Lonchura striata: one gene and its partners. The protein of the gene in region 2 purifies or fractionates together with the protein of the main gene of each other region. This does not show direct contact. Links are inferred from orthologs where the notes say so. Each region holds a gene or a part of one and is shown on either strand. Other genes may lie near its edges. The genes, in order: RAD18, SLF2, SMC5 and SLF1.

The links.
Region 1: the proteins of SLF2 (region 2) and RAD18 purify together in Homo sapiens (affinity purification with mass spectrometry; 3 studies listed by BioGRID and IntAct, with this or other methods). This does not show direct contact. The link is inferred for Lonchura striata from reciprocal best matches to the Homo sapiens genes SLF2 and RAD18.
Region 3: the proteins of SLF2 (region 2) and SMC5 purify together in Homo sapiens (affinity purification with mass spectrometry; 3 studies listed by BioGRID and IntAct, with this or other methods). This does not show direct contact. The link is inferred for Lonchura striata from reciprocal best matches to the Homo sapiens genes SLF2 and SMC5.
Region 4: the proteins of SLF2 (region 2) and SLF1 purify together in Homo sapiens (co-immunoprecipitation; 3 studies listed by BioGRID and IntAct, with this or other methods). This does not show direct contact. The link is inferred for Lonchura striata from reciprocal best matches to the Homo sapiens genes SLF2 and SLF1.

What each region holds. Positions count from the first base shown.
Region 1 is NC_134614.1:23,723,743-23,731,810, reverse strand, and holds the start of RAD18 (E3 ubiquitin-protein ligase RAD18), read left to right. Parts: upstream 1-4,614; 5' UTR 4,615-4,659; coding exon 4,660-4,707; intron 4,708-4,817; coding exon 4,818-4,899; intron 4,900-6,834; coding exon 6,835-6,896; intron 6,897-7,802; coding exon 7,803-7,873; intron 7,874-8,068. UniProt on the Homo sapiens protein: E3 ubiquitin-protein ligase involved in postreplication repair of UV-damaged DNA. Postreplication repair functions in gap-filling of a daughter strand on replication of damaged DNA.
Region 2 is NC_134609.1:19,949,986-19,958,336, reverse strand, and holds the start of SLF2 (SMC5-SMC6 complex localization factor protein 2), read left to right. Parts: upstream 1-5,175; 5' UTR 5,176-5,284; coding exon 5,285-5,394; intron 5,395-8,351. UniProt on the Homo sapiens protein: Plays a role in the DNA damage response (DDR) pathway by regulating postreplication repair of UV-damaged DNA and genomic stability maintenance.
Region 3 is NC_134642.1:71,458,640-71,466,087, reverse strand, and holds the start of SMC5 (structural maintenance of chromosomes protein 5), read left to right. Parts: upstream 1-4,355; 5' UTR 4,356-4,441; coding exon 4,442-4,542; intron 4,543-5,783; coding exon 5,784-5,925; intron 5,926-6,841; coding exon 6,842-6,894; intron 6,895-7,448. Other genes in the region: MAMDC2 (MAM domain-containing protein 2), read left to right, coding at 350-434, 732-793. UniProt on the Homo sapiens protein: Core component of the SMC5-SMC6 complex, a complex involved in repair of DNA double-strand breaks by homologous recombination.
Region 4 is NC_134642.1:69,020,591-69,028,220, forward strand, and holds the start of SLF1 (SMC5-SMC6 complex localization factor protein 1), read left to right. Parts: upstream 1-4,253; 5' UTR 4,254-4,571; coding exon 4,572-4,733; intron 4,734-4,885; coding exon 4,886-4,961; intron 4,962-7,192; coding exon 7,193-7,436; intron 7,437-7,630. UniProt on the Homo sapiens protein: Plays a role in the DNA damage response (DDR) pathway by regulating postreplication repair of UV-damaged DNA and genomic stability maintenance.

The DNA of each region.
Region 1 (8,068 bases), on a different chromosome or scaffold from region 2:
GGGACAGTGCTGGCACCAGCCAGTGCTGCTGAGGGTTTGGTGCATTCTGAGCTTGATTTCAATTTTAGTATTTTTCTTGGAATGTTTTTGCCCCCTGCTCCAGCACAGTGTCCCCGTGTCCCTGGAGTGGAGCCCTTCCTTGGCTGGCCAGTGCTGGTGTGGTGGTGTCTGAGTGCTCCTGGTGCCCCCAGCTGTCCCCACCCTGCTGCCTCTGGCTGCAGCAGCCCTGCAGCAGCCCTGCAGCAGCACTCAGCAGCCAGGGCTGAGCGATCCCACTCCCTGGGGAGGCTGTGCTGCATCCCACACCTGAGCTGGCTGCAGGCACAGAATGAGGATATTTACCCAACTTCTGAAAACTTTATTATTTCCCCTTAAAACCCACCTACAGCCTCACTATAGAAACACTGGAAACCGGGCTTTAGCAGGCCTGAGAGACTGCAGCATTACCCATCTTCTGTAAATACTGTGGAGCAGTTGGAAACCTTTGTATGATCCCAGCTCAGCTGGAAAACAGCACCACATTCCTGCTGCCCTTTGGGATCATTTCCCCTTCTTGTTGGGTGGGAGGCAGCAGCTGTTGAAACAGTTTGGTTTAAGTGTTTCATGAGATAAAAGTGTAATTTGCTGGATTTTAAATATCTCATGCATCAGATCAGCATAAGTACTGCAGGTAAACCAGCCTTGCTCTGCTCCACAGAGAAGCCTCTTCCCTCCCCAGGAGCCTTCCAGAAGCTTGGGCTTGGAGTCTCTGATGGTGCAAAATCCGTGGAGGTTTGTGTGCTGGAAATGAAGCTTCAGCTCAGGAGCAAAGCTCATCCCAGGCTTTAAATCTAATAACAGCCTCCTGACAGCCTCCGAAGGCCAGGCACCCTCGGACAGCTCCGAATCCCACCCGAGCCCCGTCAGCACGAGACTCATGCACGTGTGTCTGGTTGTGCCTAACGAAGACAAATCTCTTCATTAAGGGGCTCAGCTGCCGGGCAGCCGGAGGTTTGGTGACGGGAGCCTGGCTGGAGCTCTGCAGCGAGGGACGGGCTGGGCAGGCTCTGCAGCCCGGCCCGAGCCTGGGCTCCCTGTGGGCCAGGAAGGGCTGTCAGCAGCGCTCAGCCCAAACCTTCCATCCCACTCAAAGGCAGCGAGCTGCTTTCCCTCCTGGAGGAGTCTCAGCCGACAAGAAATCCTGTCCTTGGCTGCGTTACCCACCGCTGCCTGCTGCTGCTGAGCACTGATGAAGCTTCTCTTGGATTTCTGTCTCCAAACTGTTGCTGCATCCATTTTTTTTACCCCTTTCAAGACAGCCTTTATAAAAATAATATATTTAGCAATGACTGGCGAGTGCTGAAGCTGGCAGAGCTGTACCATAGAGCAGGGCAGTGCTGAGCTTGTGAGGCCGTGGCAATGTCCGAGGGTGAGGAGGCTCTCAGAAGGCTCTAGGGTGAGATGCAGCCTTTTTCTTAAAAGAAAGAAAAAATCTAGTCTTATGTAAGACAAAACATCTGCTAGTGCATGAGTAATGCCTTCCCTCCTCCCTGGTGTGGCAACCGAAGTCCATGGGAATTGTGTGAACGATTGTTTCCTGTAAGAAGTTATACACTGTTCACAGGTTTTTGGGGACAAGCCCTGTGTGCAGCCACGCCTTCCCTTTTGCTGCTTGCTCGTGGCTTTGGATCCTGCTGCTCCTGGCCCCGCTGATCCTGCCCGTCCCAAGGCTCCCACCTCCTCATGTCCCAGCAGGACTCCTGTGGCTGCCAGTCTGCCCAGTGCCACCCACCAGGGAATGGGGCTAATTCACGTCTGTGCTGAATTTCTATTGATATGGCTTGAATTTTGGTGTCGTTTCCCTGCCTGGAGCTCAGTTCTGGACACTCTGGGTCAGTGTCCCTGGCCAGAGCAGGAGGAGCTGCTGGGTCCAGCACAGGTGAGTGCTCCTGCCAGATGGATGGGTGCAGGTGTCTCTCAGCTTCCAAACGCTGCACCAGCCATGCTCTGGGCTTCTGCTTTCCATGGTCTGGGACATTAATTGCTGCCAGAATTACTAATGAGCTTCAGCTTTTAGCCTGAGTGCTGCAGGCTGCTCCTCCAAGGTGGAGATCATGGAGTCAATTAAGTAATTACCTGGTGTTTCAGCTGCCAGCACCCGAGAGGTTTTGTTTTTCACCACTGGCATCAATCCCAACACACATCTCACCCAGACTCATCAGCAGTGGTTTGTGCACTACTGGAGCAAGCTGGAGCTGCCTTTTCTGCATGTGTTCTGGTGACAAATGGCTCCGTCTCCCTCTGTTTAGTCTCATTCTGGCACATAAATCCAGGCGTAAGCAGGCTAAGCTGAGCAGAAGCCAAAACTGCCTCTTCAAAATTCTCTTGTTGCGAGTGTTTTACCTCAGTGATGTGATGAGCAGCAGCTCACCAATGGAAAGCAGAGCGGGCTGAGCTGGAGGTGACAGACAGTGGCACAAGGAGCAGCCAGACTCTGCTGAGGCCCCACGGGCCAGGGAAATGCATCTCCAGTGGCTCCTGGCACTCATCAGCCTCGTGGCAAGGCAGTGCTGGGGCGTTCTGTGCACAGGGACGGGGCTGGTGGGAGGGATCCCTGCCCTCGGGCACCTCTGGGCACAAGCTCCAGCGGCACAAATGCAAAATCCATGGCACAGCATGCACGCCTTGTTGGTGAAAGCTGTGCTCTTAATTAAATCAGGGTTGGGAAGTGCTGAGGGACCAGAGCCCCACGAGGAGCTCTCAGGCCTCTCCTGCAATTCCCAGTAATTTACAGGGAATAGAAATGAGCCTTCATAGGAGCAGGGCATGTCTTGTCTTACCCTGCAGAGAGATGGAGTGGAGGGAGGTCTGCTACCCTTGCATTGCAAGGGCTGAGAACTGCTTCATGTTCAGGAACAGGGGAAGGCAGCAATGAAGTGGCAAATACAGCAGCAGAACAACCCAAACAGTTTTTAGCAAAGGAATGAAGCCCCAGCAATGGGCATTTTGGTGGCAAATCAGCAGCCATATGGCACAACAGACTGACAACAATTTGTATCCAAACTCTGCTCCCAACATCCCTTTCCTAGTCCCACGTCCCTTTCCTAGCTGAAAAAGGCAAAATCTGTGCAGGACAGCTGGAATGTCAACTAAGAAGCACTTCTGTTAATGCATTGACTCTCTTGCCTTTGGATTTCACCCAATTTACCCTTTTTTCTGCATGGGAATGCAAATGGTTGTTTCCTATTTGTCAGCCCCTGCCTGTGACGTCCATCACAGGTCTCTGGTGGGGTACTGCAGTTACACACACAGAGTATCTGCACAGGGAATCACTGCTGGAAACTAGGCACTGGAAAGTCATCTCCCACTGAGAAGGAAGGCTCTTAGCCTTTCCTGGGGCTGGCATGCTGTTTCTGGGCTCTTGCTGGTACTCGTTCTCAAAATGCTCAGGAACCACATGTTAATTTAATTCAGGTTGTTTGTTTTGGTTTGGTTTGAGGGTTTTTTGGGGGACTTTTTCTGCCTTGGTTTATTTTGAATGGTGGGGAAGGGAATTGCACCCAGGCTAAGAACCAAACAGCCAAAGAGTGACTCTAGGGCACAAAGCTGGCAATGCAATGCACTGCTGGGAGACAACCAGAGAGAATGGAAGGTATTACAGACCTATCACCGTGTCTAGGTGTGCATGGATTGTCCGTGTGGGAGTTTTTATACTGGAGTAGTTTAACGCTAGTGAGATTACTCATGATTTTCCCAGCGTTTACTGGACCAGCATCAGTGTCCAAATGGGAGATACCTGCACGTGCAAAACAATGTCTCTGAAACATCACCCAGTGTCGCTCGTTGCTGTTGGCCGAAGGCAGCAAAGGCCAATTCAGCGCTGGCTCCTTCTCTGGCTGCCAGTGTCCGTGTCCCAGGTCAGGCTCTGCCCGTTCCCCTGCAGCCTCCGCTGCCCAGGGCTCTGCTCCCTTCCATTTCCATTGCCGTTCCCGGCACGTCTATCCCCGTCCCCGTTCCCGGCGGCTCCATTCCTGCTCCCATCCACGCTCCCATCCCGTTCCCCGTTTCTCACCCTTTCCATTCCCGCTCCTGTCCCCGCTCCCGTTCCCCGTTCTCACCAGTTCCATCCCCGCTCCCGGCGGTTCCCGTTCCCCATCCCCGTCCCCGTTCCGTATCTCCCGCTGCCGCAGTTCCCGCAGTTCCCGCAGTTCCCGTTCCCCATCCCTGTTCCCCATTCCCGTTCCCCATCCCCGTTCCCGCCCCGTTCCGTATCTCCCGCTGCCGCAGTTCCCGTTCCCCGTTCCGGTTCCCCATCCCCGTTCCCGTTCCCTATCTCCAGCTGCCGCAGTTCCCGCAGTTCCCGTTCCCCATCCCCATCCCCGTTCCCGTTCCGTATCCCCCGCCGCCGCAGCTGCGCGGGCGGAAGCGCGGGCGGAAGCGCGGGCGGAAGCGCGGGCGGAAGCCGGCGGGAAGCGCGGGCGGAAGCGCGGCCGGAAGCCGGCGGGAAGCGCGGGCGGAAGCCGGCGGGGAGCGCGGGCGGAAGCCGGCGGGGAGCGCGGGCGGAAGCGCGGGCGGAAGCGCGGCCGGAAGCCGGCGGGGAGCGCGGGCGGAAGTGCGGGCGGAAGCCGGCGGGGAGCGCGGGCGGAAGCGCGGCCGCGGCGGGAGCGACCGAGCCCGGCCATGCCGCTGCTGGAGCCGCCGTGGCCGCCCGGCCTGGCCCCGCTGAAGGTGCGTGCGGGCCGGGTCCCGGGGTTGTCCCGGGGTTGTCCCGGGCCGGGTCCCGGGGCGGGCGGTGCCCCGGCCCGGCCCTGCCCGCCGCTCACCCGCTCTCCTTGCAGGCCGTGGATGACTTGCTGCGCTGCGGGATTTGCTTCGACTACTTCAGCATCGCCGTGATCATCCCGCAGTGCTCGCACAGCTGTGAGTGCCGCGGGAGGGCGGCGGGGCCGTGTCCCGCCGGACGGGAGGACAGCGGGGAAGTTCGGCCCGGCCGGTCCCGGGCGGGGATGTTCGGCCCGGCACGCAGAAGGCTCCGGAGCCTGCAGGAGAGATGGCCAGGAACGATTTACCAGGGCCTGGCATGGCTTCCCACGGTTCGGTGGGAGATGCAGAAGAAGCTTCCCCGGGAGGGCGGTGGTGCCCTGCGCAGGGTGCCCAGAGCAGCTGGGGCCGCCCCATCCTTGGCAGTGCCCGAGGCCAGATTGGGTGGGGTTTGCCGCACCCTGGGACAGTGGAAAATGTCTTGCCCATGGCAGGGGGTGCAACTGGCTGGGCTTCAGGGTCCCTTCCCACCCAAACCGTTCTAGGGTGCCTCGATTCTCTTTGCCGTGGAAGCTGGGAGGAGCTTGGCAAGATGGAAGCAGCCAGAGCCCTCCCTGCTGTAGTTCCTGCTGTAACACAAGCATGTGGCATCTGGCATTCTTACTGTAAATATCTTTCTTAACATCTTGAGGGTGGTACAAATGCAAAGCTCTATGTGCTGAGCATTAAGACCTCAAATTTTCCATGCTGTTCTGTCTGCCCTGCAAGATACCGACTGGAACCTGACCCCAAGTGCTTTGTTGAAGCCAGATTAGGAGGGAAGTACCTTGCCTTTTCCCACGTTAAAATAAATGCTTGTGATTGTTAGGTTCAGAAACTGTAGCACTTCCTTCCCTGAAGGGGGCCGTTGTCATTTGGCAGTGAAGTTTAGTTTAGCTTGGCAGAGCTGTCACCACTGAAGCCAGAGTGGGGAGCCACAGAACTGGGAATTCTCTTCACTGGCGGCTGGTGCAGCCATGGCTCTGAGCAGCAATCTTTGCACGTGGGCCATGGGAGGCTGCTGGGGTGTTGGATGCTGGCAGCCTGGGTCTGCCACTTCATTCCTATTCCTACAGTTAAAGTTTGTTTCTTAATGGCTTTCTCACCCTATACCACTTCTTGCTACGTGTCTAGTAATTTTTGAGCATTTAAATGGATATGTGGTTTTAAGTGTTAATTGGTGCTTTAGAACAGGTTGGATTTGGCTTGGACAGCCTGGTCTAGTGGAAGATGCCCTGCCCATGGCAGGGGCAGGGGGTGGGATGAAATGAGCTTTAAGGTCCCTCCCAACCCAAACCATTCTGGGATTAATTAATGCTTCTGCTGCTTTTCTGATGCATTCTCAGAGGGCCTATGAAATATAGATCTTTTTCAGGAACTAGTGCTGAAACTCTGACCTATGATGATCTAGTGAGGGAATTTTGTCCTGGAGAATGATGAGATTTTTTTAAATCCTTAAGTGGCTGTGAAAGCTATGGGATAAATTGACAAAGTGTAACAAACACAGAAATGTACTGTGACAGTGTGTTTCACCGCCCAGCCTGTCGAGGCATCCTGTGATGGTGAGGTGACATTAAGCTGTCTCTCAGCATTTCAGTGCTGTCTGCCCTCCTTTCCAGCCTCTTCTCTCGACAGCAAGTTGGTATTGTTTTGGAAAGGGGCAGAAGAGCCTGGGGGAAAGGAGATTGTAAGTTTGTCTGGGGCTGTGCAGGCAGATGAAAGTGATCAGCATTAGTCATGTCAAAAACCCAGTTTTTGTGGGGGAGTGAGCAGTGCAGCCACTGCTGTAGTGGTGGGGGCTGAGGAAGGCTTTCTTGCACTGGGGAACAAAAGGAAGCAAACATCAGCTTTCGGTGGAGGAGCTGATATTTGAAATGTGCTTGAATAAAATGCAGGTTCTTTTCCAACAATGATAATTCCATGTGAAAATGGTGTGTTTTCAATATTTGTGTGTTGTGGAGTAGCTTGTGTGTGTTGTACAACAAGGAAATACACAAGCAAGGATGTGGATGTGCACTTGGAATAATGCTCACAACGATGTGTTCCCTTTTCCAGATTGTTCCCTTTGTATCCGCAAGTCTTTGTCCTACAAAACGCAGTGTCCAACGTGCTGTGTGGTAAGTGTGGTTTTCCCCCTCAGTTTATTTTTAATCTTTTGGCAAATCTTAGGAGCTTTTGCCTTTGGACTGTGCCAAGTAATCAATTCTGATTGCATGGGCAAAGTGTGGTGCTCTTGCATCTGGAATTGTTCTGTTCCAGAGGTACTCCTTTGTCAGTGCAGGCAGAAGGGGATGGAGAATCAGGCCTGAGGTTTGGTCAGGACTGTGTACAATCTGTCACAAAACATTTAACATTAATTTGTTAAAATACTCCATGATTTAAACCAGCAGTGCTGAAACGTAAGCGCTTCATTTTCTGTGTGTGAGTGGCCCCATTTAATCTCAAAGTAAAAATAGAATAAAAAAGTAATAAAAGCTTTTTTAAAAATAAGAGCAGAGAGAGTTGCAGCGTGGTAAAAATCAGAAATTGTTTAAAAAGAATGAACTGAATGCACAGAGGCAACTCATAATTCATATTTTCATGCCATAATCAGAAGATTAACATCTCCCTTCATCAGTTTTCATGCTTTGTTGCTTAAGGTTCTTACCACCTTCAGAAGATGGTTTGGTTTGGTTTCCAAAATTATTAGACCTGTGCTGCAACAAACCATTACTGGAGCCTGGGCACACTGGGCTTTGTTGCTTTAGCTTTATGCTTTGTTTTCGCCTGTTACCTTAATATCCCAGACTTAAGTTCTCAGGCAGTTACTTTAATATGAGATATTTTTGGGGAAGAAGTGTTTACACTTTAAGCATCTTAATTCCTGTAGCACTTTAGTGGGGGTAGTTGAGGCACCAAGCCAAGAAGCAAGTTATTGATCACTTGAACATTTTCTGGGCACTTGCTGTTTTCACTGCATTTAAATGTTTGTTTGTTTGGATTTGTTTTGGTTTTTTTTTTCTTTTTCTTTATTTCTTTTATAGGCAGTCTCGGAATCTGACCTGAAAAACAACCGGATTTTAGATGATCTAGTGAAGAGCTTTAATTCTGCAAGGTCTGTCTGCAATTTTATGGCTGCTCTCTCTGGCTTGGCAGCTGGCAAGGTGTGGCTGTGTGTGCCCCCAGGCTCAGAGCCCTGCAGAGGAGGGTGTGAGAACTGAGCAGAACAATTGTGGTGTCAAAGATGAATGTTTACCCTTTGGAAAAACCCTGCAGTGTTCTGGCTGAAGGTGACTGTGCACTCAAGTGA
Region 2 (8,351 bases):
CTAAGAATCTTGCTTCTTCCTCCATAGGTCTCAGACAAGGTGGCAACAACTTTTCCTATTAACATCCAAACATCCAGCTCTCTTCTGCTTTTACAAAGCCTGTTCCCCTCTCACCAAGCTGTGATGATGCTTTTTCCTCACTGAAGTAACAGCTGTGAGGCTCCCTGGCTTCTAGGTGAATTGGCTGGGCCTGCAGACCTATCTGGTTACTAAATAAAAAGCCCTTTAAAGAAGATTTGCTAGTGTGTGCCACTTTTGATATATAGCCTTCCATTTGTTCACTCACAGACATGGAACTTAGATTAAAAGTAGTAAAAAGTCAGTGTAAGGGGGTTTACTGAGTGATTGCATGTCTAGCTTTTGAAATATAACAGTGTTTCCTCATTTTGGCCAGACATCACACGTCCTGTCTGCTTACCTCTGATGGAGGCTGTGACTCTTATTCCCCTGTCCCAGCAGGCATTTCCCTGTTAATTATTCTGAAAGCTGAGCAGTTCCTAGCTTCATCAGAACTCTGTGAAAGAATGATAATATTTAAGGCTGATTCAGGAATCCCCTCAATCTTTGCAAAAGAAATATCTTTAAAAGAGCTTGGTCACAGCATAACATGTAAGTAGAAGAAGATGAGAAAGGTCTGGCAACTTGGTTAGCTAACTGAACCTACCAACTAAAATTTTTGTTGCTTGTTAAGCAGATAGCAACACGGTCATGTTGTGGAGAAAAGGCCAGAGAAACAGTGATAAGCTGCTGCAGGAAAGTCCTTTTCATTGCCTGCTAGCAGTGGATTGTCCCTCATATTTTCTTTCTGTTTTTTGACCTTTGTGTCAAGAATGATTAATCTTTACAGAAACAATCAGCAATTAACAGGAAATTAAACCAGAGACAGCCTCCATGGAAAGGGAGCATCAAGGATAGGAATTAGCTTTAGTGAATGTTAACATCATGGATGTCTGCTGAAGAAGCCACAGGTGAAGGCCATTTCCATTTTTAATTTGCTTAAGCTATAAACCAGACTTTTTATCGTAGTCATGACAAAGGAATTTTGTGTGTGTGGTTACATGGCAATTGCCAATGAAACTTTAAGCATTGAGAGACCCGGAACTGACAACTTTAAAGTACTTAAATAAATAAAAGGTAGGGAACAGAATAGATGGAATTTAACTGACCAAGACTGATTTGAAGTTTTCCATGAAAATGGTTGTGGGAATGGGCATGTGTGTCAGGAGAATAGTTAGTGTTAGTTAAAGTGAGCAAACTATGTACTGATTAGTAAATGTTTATTAATGTAGTAGAATTATTATGTGCAGACAGATATTTTCTACACACTGTGTCCCCTTGACATATCAGTGCAGTGCTGCCAGCTTTTTGTCCAGTCAAAAAAGGGAACTGGTGTGTTAGCTGAGTTCCGCATTGCAATTCCCTGGGTGAAGCAAGCTCTGAAAACCACAAATACTTCACAACCTTGAGATACAAACCCTCTCCACTGATTAAACTGTTATTGCAGTTGAAAGTAGTACCATAAATATTCTCTCCAGATGTTTGCCTAAGAAGTCTTGCTGCATGTGCTGCATGTCAAGGTATCAGTGTCTGCTTGGTAAAGGAGGTGTAAATTGGTTCTTGCAAGGCACAGCAGGGAGTATCTGATCTGATAACATCTGGGAATTAGTGAAAAAGGGAGAGACTCTCCAGAAAGATGGAAGGAAAGGAAACCAGGAATGCCAGGAAAGAAGTGTCTGTATCTCAAGTATGCTGTAATTTGTGCTGTGCCTAAACCACACAGCAAATTGGTGATGAAGGGAACAAAGCAGCTGAGGCAACCCCAGCCAGGAAGCTGAGTGTGGAAGTGCCTGGAAGAGTACATCACCCTGATGAGTTTACACAGGCCTGGCTCAGACATGTTCATGTAAGGTGCTGCCATGCTTCTGGCTGTGTGCTCAGGTGTATGATTCAGTCAGAGGAAACCAGCCTAAATCGAAAGAAAACATTAGTCTGGTTCCAAAATAAGTGTTTTTCTACTTAAAACCCCCCAACCTGCATAGTGGTCAGCAGTCTCCTTTACATGTGCAGCACAAAGAATAATGGCTGCCTATATCAGAGCACTTCCACATGAGAATGGGCTTTATCCCTTCCAGCAGTTCCACAGCATTTTTAGTATCTGTGTTCTCCCAGGAAAAACAATGAAAATCTTTAAACATTTCCTTTCTGAGCATTGACCCTGAAGCCAGTGGCACATCAGTGTGTATCTGAGAAAACCACTGTGATAGGTTTTTCCTTCCCTCCTGGGCAACAATGAGTGATGGCATGTGTGTGACTATTGATAGAATAACTGAATTTACTGTCTGGATAATGATCTGCTATTATTAAATTGACTATAACAACTTAAAAAAAGGTATGCTAATAAATATTGGTTGATCTGTTTCCATACGGACTAGGTCCTGTACTGGGGAAAAACCAATTTACATCACTTAATCTCAAGGGGGGAGCTTATGACAATTACCAGTCTTTGCTCTTAATTGTCACTCCCTGTGGTTCATTAGCAAAATCTTCTTTTTTCAGCCTCACTGCTTGTGTTTGCTTTTATTCTTGTACTTAGAGTTACAGGAGAGTTTCACAGTCTTCTGCCACTTCGGAACTCCATCCTTACTTCCCATGATAAACAGCTTCACCCTACCATCACCAGTGCTGGAATTGGATGTTCTGCCAAAGCTGCTCTGTATCCAACTCCCTGGTTGTCTTTTAGAAACTCTTTATGACTCCAGGTGACTTAACTGTAGAAATGCCCCCATGTCTATTGCCATTTTCCACAGTTAAAGTATTAAACTTGAAAGACAAAGCAAATGTTTATAGGACTTCAATTTCATCTGCTCTTTCAATGTGTTATAAAAATATTTCTGGAATTCCTGGATAACATTGGGCATGAAACTTTAACACTTTATTAATGGTACTTCATATATACACTACTGTTTTTTCAAACAAATCTATATGACAACAAGTCAAACTGTTCTTCATTTGTTACTCAAGAATTTACACCCAGCAAAAAGATGGATTTATTGTAGTGTTGTGCATAGTGGGTCTAGAAGTGTGTTGTCAAACAGTAGGATTCACTCCAGAAAACATGATAGTCATAGGTGGTCCCTGGGGCAGAGAGCGTGCAGCTGAGGGCAGGATTTGTGTCGGAGGGGCTCAAGCAAGGAAGAAGGTGTGTGTTGTGATATCAGCCAGTGTTTTAAGCTTTTGAGGCTGAGTTTAAGAGATCAGGAATTGCATGGCTCAAAGCCTTTGAAAAACAGACTGAGGGATGGGCATGATGAAAGGGGTGGGGGGTAGGGTGCATAGCACAGGGCAGACTCAGATATTCAGGTGCTCAAGAAACATTTTCTTATTTTGTCCTGTGTTGTATTGTGTTGTTCAAGTTATTCAGTTTCTTTAGATGGTTTGATCCTGTACCCCCAAACAAATGATTCTGTCCTCCCTTACCTCCTCCCATTCAAATGTCAGTCTTGTTCCTCTTCCACCCCCAGCCCTCATCCTGGGGCCTGCTTGTCACTCCACAGTCCTTCCCCTCCATCCGGAAAGTTCCACGAGCCCCTCGAGTGATGGGCTGGGCACTGGGCCCCCTCCCCTGCAGTCCCCCCATTGGTGCCCACTCCTGCCCATTTTTCCTGCCCCACTCCCATCTACCTCTCCATTAGTCTGTGGGAACACCATGCCCCTGTTCCTCCCGTTTAAACGTTGCTGCACAGCTCTGTTCGGGGCTCTAGTTGGCTCTTCTCTGCTGGATTGTTTGAGCTTTTCAGTAAACCTGGACTGTGAACCCCAGCGAGAGTCAGGTCCTTCGTTCTGTCTTCATGGCCAAGGTTCTCTGGTGCTCTAGGGCTGAACCCAAAGCTGCCCTCCTCACCCCGCTGGGGCACAGGAAGGTGGCCCCTGCTGTCTGCAGTGCCAGCGAGTGTCCTGCTACTTCTGCTTTGAGCCTTTCCCAGGCCAGCCTAACGTAGTGGGTGAGAAGAGACGTGGGGTGGGTCACTCCTTTTCATTTGAGTCGGCTGTCTCCTGGTGAAAAACATCAGGAGAACAGTGGCTTTGGTCATCTCCACTCTTAGGCAAAGTGCTAAACAAAAACCCCAATACATAACTATAAGGGATATCTTCTATCTGTGCAATACCTACTTTGAACTGCTAAAGCAACTTTTTGATATTGCTAGTTTTTACAGACTAAATATGTGAATTTACACAGAATATTACAGATAGGAGTACTGGCATTCTCTAAGCAGGCAGGTCTGGTTCTTCAGGTTGCTTAGTCCAAGATTTTGTCCAAAATGTTTGTCAGGTGGTGGTGCAGGACACGGGATTCCACTCGAGATGCCTTTTCTGGGGGAAGTCCAGGCACAGAGAGAATCTTGCATAGCAGGCTGAGGATGGGCAGGCACAGGGTTTAGTGGCGATTTGGAAAAAGTTACTCCCCAGTAACTTTTTTCAGCCTCCCCACATTGTCTTGTGGCTCTGGAGATGGATGCGCAGCCTGGATCTTCTTCCAGAGGCGATGCAAGCCGCACAGCCCGGAGCTAGGTGGCGGCCCGTGGCGCTTTGCTCGCGGGACGCTTCTGCCCGTGGACGGGACCCGCGGGCGTGGCTGTCGGGACGGGCCCCGCGGGCTGTCGCTGTCCCCACCCGTGGACGGGCCCCGCGGGCTGTCGCTGTCGCTGTCCCCGCCCATGGACGGGCCCCGCGGGCTGTGGCTGTGGCTGTTCCCACCCGTGGACGGGCCCCACGGGCTGTGGCTGTCCCCGCCCGTGGACGGGCCCCGCGGGCTGTCGCTGTCCCCGCCCGTGGACGGGCCCCGCGGGCTGTCGCTGTCGCTGTCCCCGCCCGCGACACCGGGAGCGCCGGGGGCGGGGCCCGTCCGAGCGCACCAATCAGAGAGCGGCAGCGCGGGCCGGGGAGCGGCGCGCGAGCGAGGCGCCAAACAACCCTTCCTCCCTCGGACGCGGAACGCCGCTCCCGCCCTGCGCTCCCCAGCAGCCAATCACAGACACGATCACGCTGCCCGCTCCGCCCCCGGCGGGAAGGAACCAATGGGAGACGCAGCTGCTTTAGCCTCTCAGCCAATCAGCGCCTGGAGGCATTGGAAAAAAGGAAGAGCGGAGCCCGTTAGCTCCCGCCCGTGCCCCGAGGCCGCGCTGGGCGTTCCGGCCGCGCTGGGCGTTCGAGCCGCGCTCCGGGCGATGCTGCCAGGGGCGGCCGCTCCCCTCCGCCGCTCGGGCCCCGCTGTGCCGCCCGTGCCATGACCCGACCGCTCGGCGAGGGGCTGCCGTCTCCGGGCCCTCCCTTCGCCATGTCCCGCCGCCATGTTACGCCGGCGGCCGCGGGCGGCGAGGCGGCCCAGGACTGCAGGTACGGGCGGGGCGCGGGAGAGCGGCGGTCGCGGCCGTCGCCGGGCCCCGAGCCCGCCGAGCGGGACGGCTCCGCTGCCGGCGGGCGCCGCGCTGCCCAGGGCGGGCGGCAGGGCTCGGCTCGGCGGGCGTTACCGGGAGCATCGCCGGGAGGTTCCATGCTCCTCACGGAACCGGCGCCTGGTGCCGCTGGGCGTTGGCCGGCGGGTCTGGCAGCGTCCCGAGTCTGAAGGAGCGTCCGGCTAAGTTTGGCCGGCATTTCCAGCGCGCCCTTCAGAATCCCGGGGTCGTCCCGCGTGTGCCGCCCCTGCCCCGGCGTTTCCCAGCCCGCCCGTAGAGCCGGGCGGCGTCGGCGGTTCGGCTCTAACCGGGAGCTGCGGGTGTCGGTTCAGCCCCCGAACCCGCTCCGGCGGGACTGCGCCTAACGGTGCTGGCACTGCCCAGGGAAAACACTGCTGTCAGCGACGCTGCCTTTAGACCTGACAAACTTGCCTGCCAACTAGAAATTCAGATTTTGACAACGATTTGAGGCTTCTCAGAGGCTGCTGTTTTTTGCCCAATGAGACAAGTCATAATTTTCTTAGGCTATTAGTTGCACCTTACTTTGTTCAGATCCTTGGTTTTGATGGCACTGTCATTTAAATGAAGGGGACAGGGTGAAAGTTTACTTTTTCAGTCTTACTTTTTGCCCAAGAAACTCAAACGAACCGGCAGTTTCGGTTTTGTTGCAGGTGTCTAAAAGGCTGAGGTTTTCTATGTGAGTTTCTGTTTTGGCTGGTTTTATTATGATTTTTTTTTTCTTTTTACAGAGCTTTTCAAGATGCTCTATGTCATCAAATGTAGTAGCTTATTCCTATGTTATGGGAATTTGCTATCTCTTAGCTATTCCTAGTGTTTCCAATACAGCTTTTTAAAAGCATAGTTTTTATCCAGCCAGGGATTACCACGAATGTGGCTGTAAACAATAATTGCTTTTACCAAATGCTCAGGGGGTTGTTTTTTTAAGACAAGTGAAAGTATTTCCTCCTTCCTTCCTTCCATGCAGGCTTAGTTTAGGGGCGTAGTTAGTGTTCTTAGTTTTGGAAGGCCTGGAAGGTCTGTTAGGTTCATCTCCTTGCTGTGCAGCTTTTTTCTTTGGTCGGGTGAGATAATGTATTTATGGGCATTATGTTTTCTTTTGGATTTTTAGTGGGCTCCTTGGTGTCTCAGTCGAGCTGAGATTTCACAAAATATGGTGTGATAATTTTTATTTGAGATAAAAGGTCTTGCTGAATGTAAAATATATTGCTGAAAAGTGTTAACCAGAGCTGTATAGTGGTTCAGAAAGATACATTAAACAACTGTGATTTTTGTGTTAGCAAAAGATTGAAGCACAGTAACCTACTAAAGTGTGGAGATTCTCCTGGGAATGGTTTGTGAACAGTTATGGCCCCATTCACATAGAAAATCACATTTCTCCTACTTTCACATGTATGTGAAAAGCAAGTTGGATGGGCCAGTTCTTTTCCATGATCTTCCTTGTACTGTATTGAATTCTTTATTTTTTTCTTTTCCTCACCCTTTGCTTTTGTCTGAAGTTTCTGGTACACTTCCTTGTCTGAGACACAATACAGAACCTTGGCTGGACAGTTCCTAGCCCTTGCACTCCAAAAAGCAGAGTTACAAATGCAAAGGAGAAAATATTGGTGGATAAGCCTTTCCAAAGAAGCCCAGCTCTTCATTAAAATTAAACTTGAGGAAGAAGAGAAGTGCCTTCATTCCCTGTTGTTTTGTAGAAGGCTTTGTATAATTATGGAATAAACAGAAATTTTGTTACAAAGCTGGATTTTTAATAAAAGACAGCAAAAAGAACATTATGGCAAGGACATAAGCAGTCATTTGGAAGCAGTGGCTGTGGAAACAAGGACAGAGATGACAGAAGGCCTTGGTTTTGGTTTTGTTACGAGCTGTCCATGAAGGTCAGAGTAACTGAGGTTCTTGTTAATGGGTCCCTTGGGGCAGATTAGAGAGAAAGAACATTGATATGCACACATAGGGTTTATTTTGGGATAATTTGGTTGCAATGGAAATGAGGTATGTAGCCATTTTGGTTATTATCTCTAGTAATTTGACAATATAAAAGTATAAAAATACCACTTAAGGAAATATATAAGGAAAAGAAAGAAAAAGCAAGGATAGGAGCAGATTACAGAGATATGACCAGCATGGATCCAGTGATGAGACTTGATTGTAGCGATTCTGATGTCTGCTGGTCAAAGTGATGCTTGCAGTCAGGGATGTAGGAAGCCCCCAAAATACAGAGTTCAGTGGGTTAATGGATGTTCTGGTGGGAATGCCCAGGTACCTCCCTTGGAGAGGGTGGATGTAACACTGTCTGTTGAAAGGCCCCAGGAATTAGTCTAGTGGCACTTCGGGGGGGTCTTTGATGGTTTATGACCCCATCTTAGACTGGTGTTTTGGTGTATCTCACATCATGTTTTCTCACATTATGCCTTGTCAGAAGGGATAAATACCTTCAGTCTAAGTGTGAATATCCCAGTACCTCCCCCTGGGTGGGGGGTGTTGTTTTACACCTGAGCCAGTTGTGTAAGGGAGGACACTGGCATGATGAAAAGCATTTTCCCACCTCTGCAGTGGCTGTGCCTTACCAGCCTTGTCGCTTATCTGGCTCAAGCCCCAGCTTGTTTTGTTGTGGTCATCCTCCTGTGGTGGGTGTGCACCCTCTCCTGGTCTTAGGCAGATCAGAGATTTCAACAGCACACACAGAAACCCCCTCCTTCTCCCCTTCCAGGGGGGATGCAGACCTGGGCCGCAGCAATATTGCTTGTTTGAGTCAATGACCTTTAACATTTCTGTCCCTCGAGATGTAGGTGCAGAGAGGAATTTGGGTGGTGGCTGAAGATGAGATGTGGCCTGCCAGCAGTGCTTCATGTACAGATGGGGCTTTAATGGGGAAGA
Region 3 (7,448 bases), on a different chromosome or scaffold from region 2:
TAAATTTAAACAACATCATTTTTTGTCAGTAGTTGTAGGACTTTTTCAGGATCATTTGTGCAATTTCTTTTCCTTCAGTTGTCTGTAGCCCTGTCCAGATTTGACACAAGCACTGAGCTGTGATGAAATGGCAGCTTCTTGTAGGTAGTCTTTCCAAGGGAGCAGCAAGGAGAAGGGATGATGCAAAGGCAGAGGTCTGTCCAATGAGAAGGGAAAATGAAAAGGAAGGGGAAAAGGAGAGGGGAAAGGAGGGCAGGGGAAGGGGTAAACCTTGAAAAGGTTGCATGGTTATTATTTTTTTCAGTCCTTCCACCATTTGGATTCAGAAAATTTGTGCCTTACTTTACAGATTATTTTTGAGGCAATCCGTGGTGTGTCAGTAAGAAGTGACACTGCTATTGATGATATTCTGTTCCAGGCAGGACCTTGTTTGGGTAAGTTTCAAGATACTTTGTTAGAAACACCTGAAATTCAGTGCTTGTTTGTGGGTGGGTGATATTTCCCTTGAGTCTCCATTTAAATTTAATATCAAGCAGAGGTTAGTGCTTTTACTATCTAATAGGGTGTGAGATCATCCTCAGAATCTCAACTAGTAAAGTGGCTGTAAACTTTTTAAAAACCACAGATAGTCCCATTTAAATCCAGTGTGCTAATTAAATTCTGCTGTAAGTATTATTAAGTATGACAAAAATAAAAATAATTACAGAATTTCTTCATTCTTTGTATTCCAGAAGTGGAAGAAATTCAGTTCTCATCAGGCTATCCTGACATCTTAAACGAAATTGAGTATTAAATACATTCTGCTGAAAGGAATGAAGCACATTGAAGAATTGTATGTGAGAAACTGCATGAACTGCCTGTCTTAAAATATGATTTAAGTAAATACTGGACTGGTTTGAATACACACCGATACATAGGAAGAACTTGGAGCACTAATGCTCCTTGCCTTTTCAATGAAATTATTGACTCAGGGCTTCTTAGACCATAAGTTTTTGATATTATTTCCTCTTTTGCATGAGGTATCAGTTATTACATAAAGGCTTCCCATTTTGCACAGATCATTAATTTTTAATTTTAACATTTTAACATTTCTGGTATGTAAGTAAAAAGAGGAAATTCAAGTTGCACAATTGAAGTCCAGTGATATGTTATCTTAAATCTGCATTCAGTGAATGTTTTGTGTTGGGGATAGAATGGATTTTTGTTAAGAAAATGATAAATGTTTTGAAATAACGAAGAAAATAGTGTTAGCTACTAGTATTATCCCACAGGTTAAGTACAATTATTCTCAATGACAAATCTCTCTGGGAAACTTAATACTCTGCTGGCAATTTTTTGTGACAGTGTATTTTACTATAACAAATATATTTGTCAATAACAAACTCACTTCTAGTGTTCAGTATAATTCAGCATAAGATGCTGGCCTGTGGAATTATAGGAAATTAAACACTTTAAAGCCATATGTTTTCTGTCATGAGAGTCTGGTTGTTTGTTTTTTTATTAAATAAGTTTGTACACTCACAGAGAATGCACTTACACTTTGCCCAACAACAGATGTCCTGCATTTATATTCACATCTTGTATTTTTTCAGGTTTTATGTATTTGTGTGTAAGGTTGATTTTTTTTTTTAACTTACTATAACTTCCTAATAAAATTTAAGTTTGAGTATCATCTTATTCCTCTGCTCTAGATTTGAAACTGATTAGTGTAAAGAGAAAGAACAGAACCAAATTAAGTAGCCTGAATTAATTTTGAACATGAAGAGAATTAAATGAGTGGATCACATCACCTAAGAAGGCCAACAAAAAGTAATCTGAACTGCTGCAGGAAGCTTATGTACTGTTACAGCAACCATATCCTGCTCCTTTCAGAACTAAGAATATGTTTTTCCTAACAGCATATAAGGATCAACAGCACCTAGGATGATCTAGGTCCTTGCATCTTACATACCTTTTCATTTTTGTGACAGAAACAATTTAAGAGATTGTTCAATGCAGTACATTCAATACTCATGTATTTATTTAACCACACAGATTGAAGCCATTTTCTGTTTCCTGGACACTGAGGAAAAGCCAAAAGGAATTGATATCTTATCTGCATATTCTAGATACCTACCTAGTCAGGTGCTTATGAACACATTACTTTACTATTATTCAAAAATGAAAGCAAACGGAAATAATGGACTGTTTCCTATACGTCAGCACAATTTTACAGTTGTTCTGAAAAGTGCATGTTTCGGTATCAATACTCAGCTCAAATTATCTAAGCAGAAAACAAGTGAAGATGAAGCACTTAATCAGGCTTGGTTGTCCTCTGTATGTAAATGAAATGAAGCATGAAGTACAACTGTTAGGCTCCTATCTCTAGATATTTATGCAACTCTGCCACACTCCATCAAAGTAATCAGATTTAGGATGATAAAATAAAAACCTAAATGAAGGATTCTAACCTGCTGTCCACTGAGTGATTTCTAGGGACCTCACTGCTACAGTGATTTTATCAGTATCACTGAAGGAAATACTTATCCACAAGGTGTGAGGCATTGCCCTGATGGGGGGGAGAGGCAAAAAAAAAGGTGGGGGGAAAGCTTACCAAAACACCAAACCAAAAAATCACCTAAATTCTTACTTAAGTAGGGAACATTGCCTTTCCAATCATTTTTGCAGCAGGAACTAAAGTACAGAGAGAAAATTTGAAAGATGGCTTTCATTTACTTCAGTGTCTGATGAACATCAATTTATAGAATACAAAATTCAGAGATTAGTGAAAGAATGGCTACAAAACATTTGAAAACTGGGTATGGTACATTTAAGATGTCTCCACTGGCAAACTTCAGTTTTATGGTATAAAAAAATATTCTATCAGCTCTGTCCAAATGGGAAACTCCTCATGCAATTAATTTCTGTCCTGGTTCCATATTTATTTACTATGCTGCAGTAGCTGTACCAGGACCACACTGGGGCAAAGAATAGTTCTTCTGAGACTCGCCATAGCAGTCCTGTTTAATGTCTGAAAATTTCTTCAAAAGCTAGTGAAGACTTTACAAGTAATTGTTTTGATCCCAGTTGTGTCAAAATCTGTAAAATGGAAATGAAAAAACCTTGAAAAACAGCTATAATGTCCCAAGCGATAATGGGCTTATATTTAATTGCTGTAAGTGTAGCTTTGTGCTGGAGTGGAACTCAGCTTGTCCTGAGATGAGTGGAGACCCCTTTTATTGTCTTCCTGTTCAATACTGTCCTTACGTTTAATCTTGGATTTTATTCTTTAAATATTGTCCCATTAGTTTTCATTTTATCATTATCCTTACTAATTCCAAAAAGAGGGGCAAATTCAGATCTCATTTACACCAACAGAAATCCAGAATAACAGCTATTATAAAATGTCACTGTTATGCTGCCTTTATAAAGTAAATAAAGAGGTATTCTATGGTGTCGCACCAAAATAAACCTAATATAAACTTGACTTCACAATCATGAGGTTTCATAAGACAGCTGAAGCCAAGTACTAAAAACCTGGCATTTTGTCCACCTGGATGTGAGCAGAGCTTGCCAGTGTGCCTGCCCTCTCAGGAGACCCACCACTCCAAAGCAACAGCTGTGTAAGGGCAAAGCCTGGCGAGAGCACGCTTTCCTTGCAGTGTGACAGACACACTGAGGGCTGTTCTACCTCTCATGTTTTGAAAAAGAGAAAGCCTGCCTCTCATCCCACCTCAAAGAAAAGGCAAGCTGTCTGTGGTCCTCAGTCTGGGCCACCCGGGAATTCTCCTGAGGCCTCAGCCCGGATTCATGGCTCCTGGGCTCACTCTTGTAGCCTGCATCATGGAATCACAGAATTGTTAGGGTTGGAATTGTGATCAATTCCAACCCACACTGCCAAGGCAGAGTCGCCTACAGCAAGTGACACAGGAATGAGTCTAGGTGGGGTTTGAATGCCTCCAGAGAGGGAGACTCCACAACCTCCAGGGTAAGGCTGTCACAGTGCTCTGCCACCCTCCGTGTAAAGAGGTTCTTGTCGTGTTGAGGAAAGCTCTTGAGCTTTACTTTATGGCCACTGCTCCTCATCCTGTCTCAGGACACCACTGAAAAGAGTCTAGCAACCCTCTCTTGGCAACCGCCTTTGAGGCAGTTGTATGCATCAATGAGACTCTCTCCCGGTTTTCTCCGAACTAAACACGCCCAGCCACCGGTGATGCCGCAAACGTAGGCAGGGAGCGTGGCGGTGAGCGGAGCGCCCGAGCAGCGGCACGCGGCGCTCGGCACCCGCCGCGGCCCGGCAACAGCGCCCGGCCCGCCCGCCCCGCAGCCAATGGGCGCCGGCGCGGCGCGCCCCGGCCAATGAGGAGCGGCTTTAGGACGGCTCAGTTCCGCCTTCGGGCAGCCGGCCGAGCGCTCGGCGCGGGCTCGGCCCCGCGGGGAGCGAGGGTGGCCGGGGGGGAGCATGGCGACTGCGCGGGAAAAGGGCAAGGTTGTGAAGCGTGGCGGGTCCAAGCCCACCTTCGTACTGGGTTCCATCGTCAGGATCTTCATGAAGAACTTTCTGTGAGTGAGCGGGAGGCATTTCTCCCGCTTTCAGCGGCCGCGGCCTGCTCCTTCCGCTCCGCCGTAGAGGGGCGGAAGCAGCGGAGCGGGATGGCGGGTACCGAGGGCTGGAGGAGGGAGCGCAGGAAGCGGCGTTCCTTGGGAGATGGGGTCTTGCTGGAAGGCCTGCAGTCTGGGTTACGAGCCCCAGGGGCTGTCAGCGCAGTGTCGTTTACCTGGTGCCGGCCGGCCTTCCCCAGAGGTGGTGGCGGCTGTCGGCCGTGCAGCCTCCGCGTGCTCTTTGTCTCTGGGGTGCGTGGCTGCCAGGCAGCGGAGAAAGGCAGACTTCAGAAGGTGCTCGTGGAACAGTGGGGATAGGCCTTGAGACCCGTTAGGATGAAGTGTTTGTGGTCCTGGCACATGTTTTTTTTAGCTGCTCTATACTGCGAATACCATTATTTTTGGACGTATTTGGACCAGTAGAAGTTACCGGACCATTTTCTTACGGCTCCATTCGAGCCTTGAAAATCTACAGTATTGTAGTGAATGAGTCACGTGTTAGATGTTAATTGAATCCTCAGAGAGAGTTAAATCCTCATTAAGGGTTCATATACCTTCTCTTCCACAAGTACATGGTTTATAATATTGTGTTCCCATTAACTGCTTTGTACTCCTCCTTTGGTGGGAACGTTTCAGCTCTCTGTGTTTGGCACAGTGCAGGAATAAGAACATCAAATTATTCTTTATAAATTTAGGGTGTTAATTTTATACGAATTTGCATGGGTAGGTTTGGTCTCTTCCCATAGTTACTGTTGCCGTAGGCATTCTGGATGCACATGATGAAAGATGTCTAATGCAGTTAGAAAAAAACGAGCACTAGGGATGAGCTGATGCGGTAACTCTAGAAAGCTACTGCATGATCAGCTTTCTTTTTTTGATGCATGAAATAAAATGATACCCTAGTATCATACCATAGTAAGTTCATTTATAAAGTTATCATCATATTGCTGGATTTTATTCTTCATAGTCACTGATTTTAAAGAAAGTGAGTACTCTGGCTGATGGGAATGTATTTCATGGTGTTTCACTGAAATGTTAGTTTTCACTCTTGAGACTTTCTTACAAAAGGGTATTTCGCAATTGAGTCTAAATGAGGAATTGTATCTCCTTAATAAAATAATGAAATGTTTCTAAGCTAGTTCATTTTTCTTTTTCAAGGTAATGTAATGTTTTAAAATTCAAAAACTTGCTGTGCTTTTCAGAACATACAATCTCTGTGAAGTACATCCAGGGCCCAACCTGAACCTGATTGTAGGTGGTAATGGCACAGGCAAGTCAAGCATTGTTTGTGCTATCTGCCTGGGACTGGCTGGAAAACCTTCTTTCCTAGGGCGAGCTGATAAGGTAATTATGAGCTTTTCTGATTTTCATAGTTAATCTGAATTTCATTCAGAGTGCTGTCAAGCAGAGGATAGGGGGAAGGGCTCTCTTCCTTGATTTGCTTTACTTTTATAAAAAGTAAGGCATCTGACTTGAAGAGTAACCTGGTCCAGAGACAAAGGAGGGTTATTTTAATTAACTACTTGCTGTCTTGTCTAAATTTTGAAATGCTACCTAAATTGTAGTGCAGTCTGAGTCGACTAGAGGTTTTATTTGAAGATGGCTAAGCATCCACAGTGGAGTAGAAAAATGCCATAAAAAAAAGGCATAGTGGCACTGATCTTGGAAATAGAATTTGGATTTTCACTTTTTACTGCCAAGATATGCATTGACACTGTAGAAGGAAGTTTTATATCTTGAAATTTTCAAACTTTTGCACTTGCTTTCTTGGGTAGTCTTGTTGGATGCAATTTCTCTGAGTAGATTTGGAGCAATGAATCTGGGTGCCTAAATGGTTACACATACTCTCTTGTAGCTGCTCAGTCATAAGCAAATGTGAATATGGGAATTGATTGCATGGCAGTATTGTGTTTTGGCATTTCTCTTTGCTTCTCATGATGTATTTTCATACTATAAGAACGGCAGTTCTAGTATAGGTACTTGGCAGAGTCTTGTCCTTGTTCCCCGAATTCACAAGAGCTTCTTCCTATCTGTGGATCTGCTGATTATAATTTATTCAGTTTTGGAGGCTGAAGTTAATCAGAAATTGTTAACTTGTGGAGGATAGTGTCTTCCTTTATTTTTAGTTAGTGCTTTATTTTGCTTTTAATTGTAAGTTTTCAATAAAATACCTTGTTAAGTAGCTCCATTATACAAATGTGTATTCTTGTAAGACAGTAAATTTTATTTTGCAATAACAACTTGTAAATTAATTTTGTAGGTCAGTCTGTTTGTGAAGCAGGGGTGCCTGAAAGGCATAGTGGAAATTGAACTGTAAGTAGTAAAACTGTTTCCTCATGCGCTTTTAATTGGATCATTTCCCCCCACAGCCATTCACAAACTTGTGAGAAAAAAATTTGTTGTGCAGAGGTCGGTCTTTAAGCTTAGTTTGTCCTTTTTTAATTCCTGCAGTCTTCAGAATGTAAAGTTATATAATTATCACACAAGAAATAAGCAGTGATGGCTACTGTTGATCTTGCTTTCTGAAGAAAAGTGAAAATAAAGTTTCACCTTGTCTTGATGTACAAAAAAATGCATAGAAAAAGATAATTCTATATGGTGTGTTTAGCTTTTGATTACATTTAAGGTTCTGATGATTTAGTCACTACTGCCGTCACTACGTGGTGGCGGGAATTCTTTTCATTGAAGTAAAAATTACAGAAGTCTTTTAAGTTTTAAAATGGATCAATCTGCCTTCACTTACTTATACTGATACTGTTGGAAGGAGGAGCTTGCCTACATTCTCAAAACATCACATACGGATAGAAAAGAAGTAAAATAAAAGATCTGACTAATTTGACGTAATGCGGTCTTGTAGATAAGCTGTT
Region 4 (7,630 bases), on a different chromosome or scaffold from region 2:
ATGAATGAAAGGAGATGAGAAAATAGGGTGAGCTTATAATAGCTATAAAAATAAATGTTCTTTGGAATAAAAATGGTTACATGAAAGAAACACAAAAGATACGTCCTGAGAAGAACATGAAAATGTTTTTAAAAGTAAGCATTTAGTTATGATAACAGGGAGTTTATATAATCAGTATAGCTTGAAGAAAAGCAGGAACTTTCACAATGCTTGTTCTGCCTTTTCTGTATTCATTAGCTCATGAGAGAAACTACAGGTATGTTTATAGAAAGATGATTACTATTAAGAAGCTCCTGTACCTTCTGTGGATTTATATTTATTATTTCTAATCCTGGTAATCCCTTATTACTACAGAAGAATATTTAAATTCCTTTGATTTCAAGAAGCCAGAGACAGTGTTTCATACTGAAGAAAAAATGGACTTTAAGAGGCAGAAAGTTAGATTTTTATCCACACGAAGGCAGTATGGAGACACTTCATACTGCTTTAGATTTTATGACTGGTTTTTCAGTGTAGTTTCATGATTTTTTTTTTTTTTTGTAAAGCTGTGATTATGAAATGCTTGCCTATTGCACTGCGAGTTTCATTTAAAAAGTATAAATATTATGTTTAGACAGAAGGAAAAAACTCCAATGAATAGTTTTCCTTAATCAGTCAACTGATAATCTTGATTGCATGATGGCAAGTATTTTAAGCACATACTACAAAATAGATTCCAGTAATAAAAAAATCTGTCAGATTATACTTCACAATGGAAAGATGCATTTGCATGGACTTTTTCACTCTCAAAATGTGCAAGTAATTACATAAGGAATTCACACATAGGAAGTCAAAAGCCTTATGAGGGACAAATAGTACAAATGATCAAACAACAAAAAAGAAACCCTAACTTGCAGAGTTAAGGACAAAGTGGCAGAGGCTTTGAGAAACAGACTGAGATTTACAGACAAGGATGAACAGTGATAACACAGAAAGCAGCAGTACCAATAAGGCCTGAAGAAAGATAACTGTGTGAAGTAAAATAGCTATTACTGGGAAACGTAAGAAGTGACATTTCAAGGCAGAAGACGTGGTTGTAATAGAAATATGCATAGAAGATAAAGGAAATAAAAAGTATAAGGTAGAAGGCCAGAACAATGTATGAAATGAAAACTCTTTTTTCTTCTCTCTAGGTAACAAATTTAATAAAAGAGTTATGAAAGAGATGGACACCTGATACACTGTAAATAAAATCTTTCTGTGATAGGAGAAAAGGAATATTTATTTTCCTTATCTTGGCTTCTTAATGAACTGGACATAAGAGCTGTACAGCCATTCTTGATCATCCTTAAAATGTAATTAGAAGTTTTACAAGTCAAATACCATGTGTGTAGTATGGAAAATCACTTCCTAAATTTTATTGAACATGTCACAGGTACAGTAGAAGAAAATATGTAAAAGTAGATACTATCTAAAAAGATATCTCAGAGCCAAACTGTTAAAACACAATTTATAATACTGAGAAACTGAATTGTATATTTGACAAATACATTTAAAGGAAACCAGAGGGACTTAAAAATACATCAGTTAAAAAGCCTGCTCACTATGAGGCCTATGAGACATAAGAGACACTTAGCTACCATAATGAGATCACAACAAGGATGGAAAGGAAGAAAATATTTCAGACTTTTAATGAACAAATAATAGAATCAGGGGTTGGTGAATTCTGAACTTAGTAGTCGTCACTGAAATAATGGTTAAAAAACGTAATTTCTTAAAGCTACATTTTGGCAACAATGTATTTCAAAGAAAAACTACATGTGAAATGTTTGAGATCATTTACTTTGATTCTACACTATTTTATGTGCCAGAGACACAGGAAAATAAAATTAACTCTTAAAGGTAAGAAATGGTCATCAAATAAGTATGAATGATTGAATCAAGAATATCCTGAGTTAGAAAGGACCACAAGCATCATCAAAGTAAAACTCCTGGGCCTGCACATGACACCCCAAGAGTCACACCATGTGCCCGAGAGCGTTATCCAAACACTTGTTGAATTCTGGCAGACCTGGGGCTGTGACCACTTCCCTCGGAAGCCTGTTCCAGTGCACAAGCATTCTCTGGTTGAAGAACCTGAATCTAACCTAAATCTCCCCTGACAGAGCTTCACAGCTTTGTTCACTAGGAGTTAGTTTACAGTATCATATGCTGAAGACTTCTCCAGCCTGTTAAGAGTCCTGTGAGGTAAAACTGCTGTTAGTTATCAGTTATGTAATGAATAAAAATTGAATAAAATGAGTAAAAATTTACAAGAATTAAAATCAAGACCTTTACAGTCCTGAGAAATCAATAGTAAAAGTATAAAGATGCAACAGGTACAAAATAGAAAATGCATGCAACCAATAACTGAAGTCTGAATATTAACTATAAATATTTAAGATTTTTTTTCATTGTCATTTTTGCAAAAAGAGTAGTGACAATGATTGTTGATGGTTACATATTTATATACAAAAAAATAACAGCAATGTTAAGGAAACAAGAGAAAAAAGGAAAAGCCTCAGTAAGCATTAAGGGTACCAGAATACTTCTTAAACAGCAAGACAAGAGTAATCTGTGGCCCGGCAGAACACTTCTTCTGTTTTGATATTCTGAGAAACTCAGATTCAAACCATGTGTCCAACCTGCTGTCAAACTTTATATGTCTGCACCTATGTGGTTTTGTTTTTTGAGGGATACCTGTTTTACAGCAGTGGTGAGCTCAAAGCATTGCTTCTATTGATCTAAGCTGCAGTGACAAAAACTCAGCACTTGTGAATTTTGTTGTGCATATCTCAATTTACAGGTCTTAAATATGAAAGAGTGTCTGAAATACCTCAATGAGTACAGGGTGACTTGACCACAATTCAGTTCTCTAAAGAGGTATTTCAACCATCTTTTTTAAATATTTTTTTTGTATGCATGCATTCTACTCTGAAACTATAGAAAAACGCAAAAGTGTTCTACAGAGCTACTTCTTTTTTCCAGGAAGCATCAACCGATTTCTTGTGCAGTATCTGTTCAGTGCATTACATGACAGAGAAATAGCCAAAAGTCATCTCTCAAGCACAGAAGGGACCAAAATAAAGAGTGGGACGCCAGAAAAAGTTTCATGAACAGCAACTGAGGTACAAGATGAATATTATTTTGATCTCTTCATATTGCTTTGTAACCGAAAAAAAAATCAAGCCTTGACTATCGTAACAAAAACGTTGTACCAACTTGATCAGAGTGGCAGGAATGCCTTCCCTTCATCAACAGGGCAGAAAGCCCTTCCCAAAAATATGCGGCTTGATTATCTGGCTGTAGCACTACCTTGTCACTTGCCCTACGAGGGCCATGCATTATATGGCTTTGAAACTTTGAAAAGTTTTTCCGAGATGCTGAGAAAATGGTTCTGAGGGTCCGAAATCCCTGGTCCCTTTTCCCGATTCTTACAGCCAGCCTGTTCCAGAGATTCCTGTTCCACTTGGGCTCGCATATAGACCGACGCAACCCCTGCTAGACCGCCTTCCACAGTTTTAGTTCCGCCGAGCGGCAGACGCGGCGATTTCCAGGTTCCGGAGGGCGCCAGCGCGTTTCGCCGCCCGCCTCCAGCCTGCCCCCGCCCCCGGCCCCGCCGGGCTCCCTCCGCCCCGTCCGACGCAGCACCGCCCCTTCGCGCTCCAGCAGCACACGGGCCCGGACCGCCGCACACGGACTCGGCGCCGCCTTCCCGCTGCAGCTGGCAGCGCCCGCCAGCGCCTCGGACCCCCGGGAGCTCGGGCACTGCGCAGCGCTTCGCACGGCAGAGAAGGCGGCCGGGGGGATCGCCGCTGCTCCGCGGGCCGCCGCAGCGGATTCCAGCCCGGCCCCGCTCGGCGCCAGAGCCCGGCCGAACGGTGAGCTGAGCGGAGGGGCAGCCCCAGCGGGGCCACTTACCCGGCCGGGATCCCCCCGCGGCTCCGCGCCGGCGGCCCCGGCGACCGTGGAGCGTCAGTGACAACGTCCCGGAACGGCCGCTCCGCCACATCCGGGGGCGGGGCGGGGCGAGGCGGGAACTCGCCGTGCCGCGGCGCCTGGCGGACGGCGGGCCGGAGCGAGCCGAGCCGAGCCGAGCCGGGCCGAGCCGGCGATAGCGCAGCCCCGCTCCCGCGGTCTCCGAACGTGAGCGCTGGGGGCTCCCGCCGCAGCCAGGGGCCCTCGCTCGGCACCCCCTGTCCGGGGGCGCCGGCAGCCCGCCGCTCTCGGTGGCGTGTCCCTGCGACGGGGCCGGCGGGGACCCTTCCCCCGCGGGGCGAGGGGAGCCTGCCCGCGCTGCCGGCAGCGGAGCAGGGCTTCGAGGGACTGAACCACCGCGCATTTGCGTGCAGAGAGAGCCCCGATGCCAGGCCGGGGGGGCTCGGCCCGCTACGCGTTGCACTTTGGGAGTCTCGGGCTACTCCGTTATCGCCTTTTAGGTGTCTTTGTTGTGAGAGCTTAAAATGTGGTGTACGAGTATTCATTCCTTTTGGTGTGTTTTCCTGTTGGAAAAGAAGTAGCAAATACTAGTCGGGCCTTGCAAGCAACTTCCCATGGTGTGTACTTTGTGTGTTAATGTTTCCTTTTCATTCTTTCAGCAGATGGCAAGTTGCAGCCAGAAGAGGATAATACAAATCACTGGATTTAAAAATCAAGAGAAGAAGGCACTACTCAAATGCCTGTTCAAGCTGAACTGTGTTTTTGTAGAGAGTAAGGTATTGTTCATTACAGTACAGCAAAGAGAATTAGAGCTGGAAGTAAAATGCAAGTCTTAGAAGGAAGGACTGTGCAATAGGTTAGTTATGTATAAATAGACAAAGAATTTAAATGTTTCCAGTGATACAAGTGTGTTGTTTTGTTTTGTTAGAAATACAGAAATTGTACACATCTTGTAGCAAAAAAGCTGTGCAAGAGTGAAAAAGTCTTAGCTGCCTGCGCTGCTGGTGAGTAAAAGATTTGCTGTTTAATTTCATAGCATCACAGCATAAGCCTGGAAAGGCTCCTTAAAAGGGTTTTAGTTATCTGTTTTCATTTTGTGATTGAACTGTGTTACAAAGCTTCATTCTTCTTGTTCCATTAACCTTGATTTTTAACACAGTATTATGTTGAAGTTATGATGAAGTCCTCTTTTTTGTTTTGATTTTTTTCCACTAAGTGATATTCCTGCTATTTCCCTTTGTTGGATCTGCATCTGTTCCCAAACTGAACACTTTGTTATACATTAGATAATGAAGTCATGTTCAAATTATTTGGATGCTTAAGAAAGGGCAGAGGGAGTATGAACACCTGTAGTCAGCATGGATTTTTGATGACAAATTCACATTAAACATTCGCTGGTAAAGGTCACTGTAAGTTTCTGTTTATGCAGCAAGAGAAAATTCCAGGCTGTTGCCATTCTGACACAAGCTTCTGGTCTTTCCTCTTTAACTAGGGTCTGATGGTGAAATCCCATACATTAGCAACTAAAATGCTTTCAGAATTAAAATCCTGTATTTTAAGACTTGTTTATAGACTGATGATATGTCAGAATTCTCTGATGCAGTTTGAGTATCTTGTAGTTATAAGACACCACAATACCATTTTTAAGCATGATACTTATTTTCCCTATATCATATTACTCTAAAGTGTTAAAGCAGTTGTTAGGATGGATAATCTTAGAGATGATAGACAAATTACTAAACATACATTTGGGTTTAAATCTATATGTAAATTCCTTGATTTCCATATATATATAATATATGTATGTATGTACCTATGTATTTTTCTTTGTACTAAAAATAAAATTATAATTACAATCTTACCAAAAATGAAATAGACCAAAAGTTTCCAAGAGGGGAAAAAATATTAAAATGCATCTAGGTTTCTGGCACAGCACTTCATTTTAGCAATTTTAAACCCTTGAGTTAATGTTTTCTGACTATTTGGAGTCTAAAATTTGAAGATGTTCTTTTAACAGAGTGGAAATGGTGCATGTAGTGTCCTCATGGTGATACAAAACTCTGTCATGCTTCGATACATGCAAATCTTCCGCAATACCATCTAACCTCTTCTTAATCCCGAGGTGCTGATTTTGCATAGTCATTGCTCTTACTCATCATGGCAGAGACAGTGTATTCATTCCTACTTTGTTGTTTTCCAGGTAGTTAAGAAAGAGCATGTTTAAACACATTTAGAACTCCACAGAGTTCATCAGAAATACTATCAAGGATTCCACTTGTCATGTACTTCCTAGCTGACAAGTTTTGGGATGGAAACTTCATGTGAAAGTGGGTTAACATCCAGGTCATGCACAGCATATCTTTTCCAGTCATAAATCGACTGGTACCTGTGCTAGGTATTGTAGAAGTGCCATCTGTGCTCCTGCACTGAGACATTTTGTCAGTCAACCCTGCTGTTCTGTGAAACCAATTAGGTTCACACAATTCAAGTCAATTTCTCTTACAGTGTCTTCTGTAGGAAGTATTTCAATACAGGAGCAGGGTACTAACCACTGCTCTTGACCTGAACCTGTAAGAAGAGAGAGAGACAGGGAAGATCATTACATACTATATCAAAAGCATAGATGTGGAAGATGAAAGAGGAGAGGTGGAGGAGGTGGAGCCAAAGGATGAGAGAAAAGGATGTGAAAAGAAGAAAGGGGAAAGAAAAAAGTCTAAAACTGTGCCCCCCAAATATTGATATTCACTACATTAGCAGTGCAAGTAATACTAAGAATATATAAGAGAAAGAGCTTACATGTTAAATGTCTAGTTCTTCTTTAAAACCATAGGTGGGAAAATATTTCTTCATTTTAGTACATTTGCAGAAGTGTCAAATGGTATTAAAAATAAAGGACTTACCAATGTTCTGTGGAACTCCTAAGAACAAAATCTGGGAGGTTGAAAACATGTATTTGATATTTTTGAGGACATAGACAAGTATTTTATCTAGGAAGGGTAAAAAGGTACTTAATCATTAAAAGAAAACAAAGCGATCATTTTCAGTGGCATTGTGAAATTTTTGATTGTGAAGTGGAAGACTCTTGTAATAGGAAGAAGTTTTTTAAATGGTACTTATAATTTCATCTTTTATTTGCACAAGAAAGGTTTAAGTTAATTTTATATTAGTTCTTCAGTTGATTGCCATTTGTCTCCACAAAAAATCTTTTGTGGTTGACAGTTCATTTTCTTTTTAGGGAAGTGGGTACTAACTAAGGAGTACATAATTAATAGTGCTGAAAGTGGCAGATGGCTTGATGAAACAACGTACGAATGGGGATATGAAATTGAAAGAGACACCCATTATTCACCTCAAATGCAATCTGCACCTAAAAGATGGCGTGAAGAACTGACAAACTCTAGTGCTCCAGGGGCCTTCCACAGATGGAAAGTTGTCCTCCTTGTTAAGAGATGTGATAAACGAATGGCATGTATTAGAAGGTAGGAGTTCCATCACAGTTAATTTGGTCCATAACAACCTCCAGCTATTCAAACAATTATTTTCATTAATATATTTCCGTAGCTTTATAATGACTTTAAATCTGTAACATCACTGCTTTTCTTGCCTTCTTTTAGTATAGTGTTTAAAATAACATGCATATGTTTTTATTAAGTAAGCTGCTAACAGAAACTTC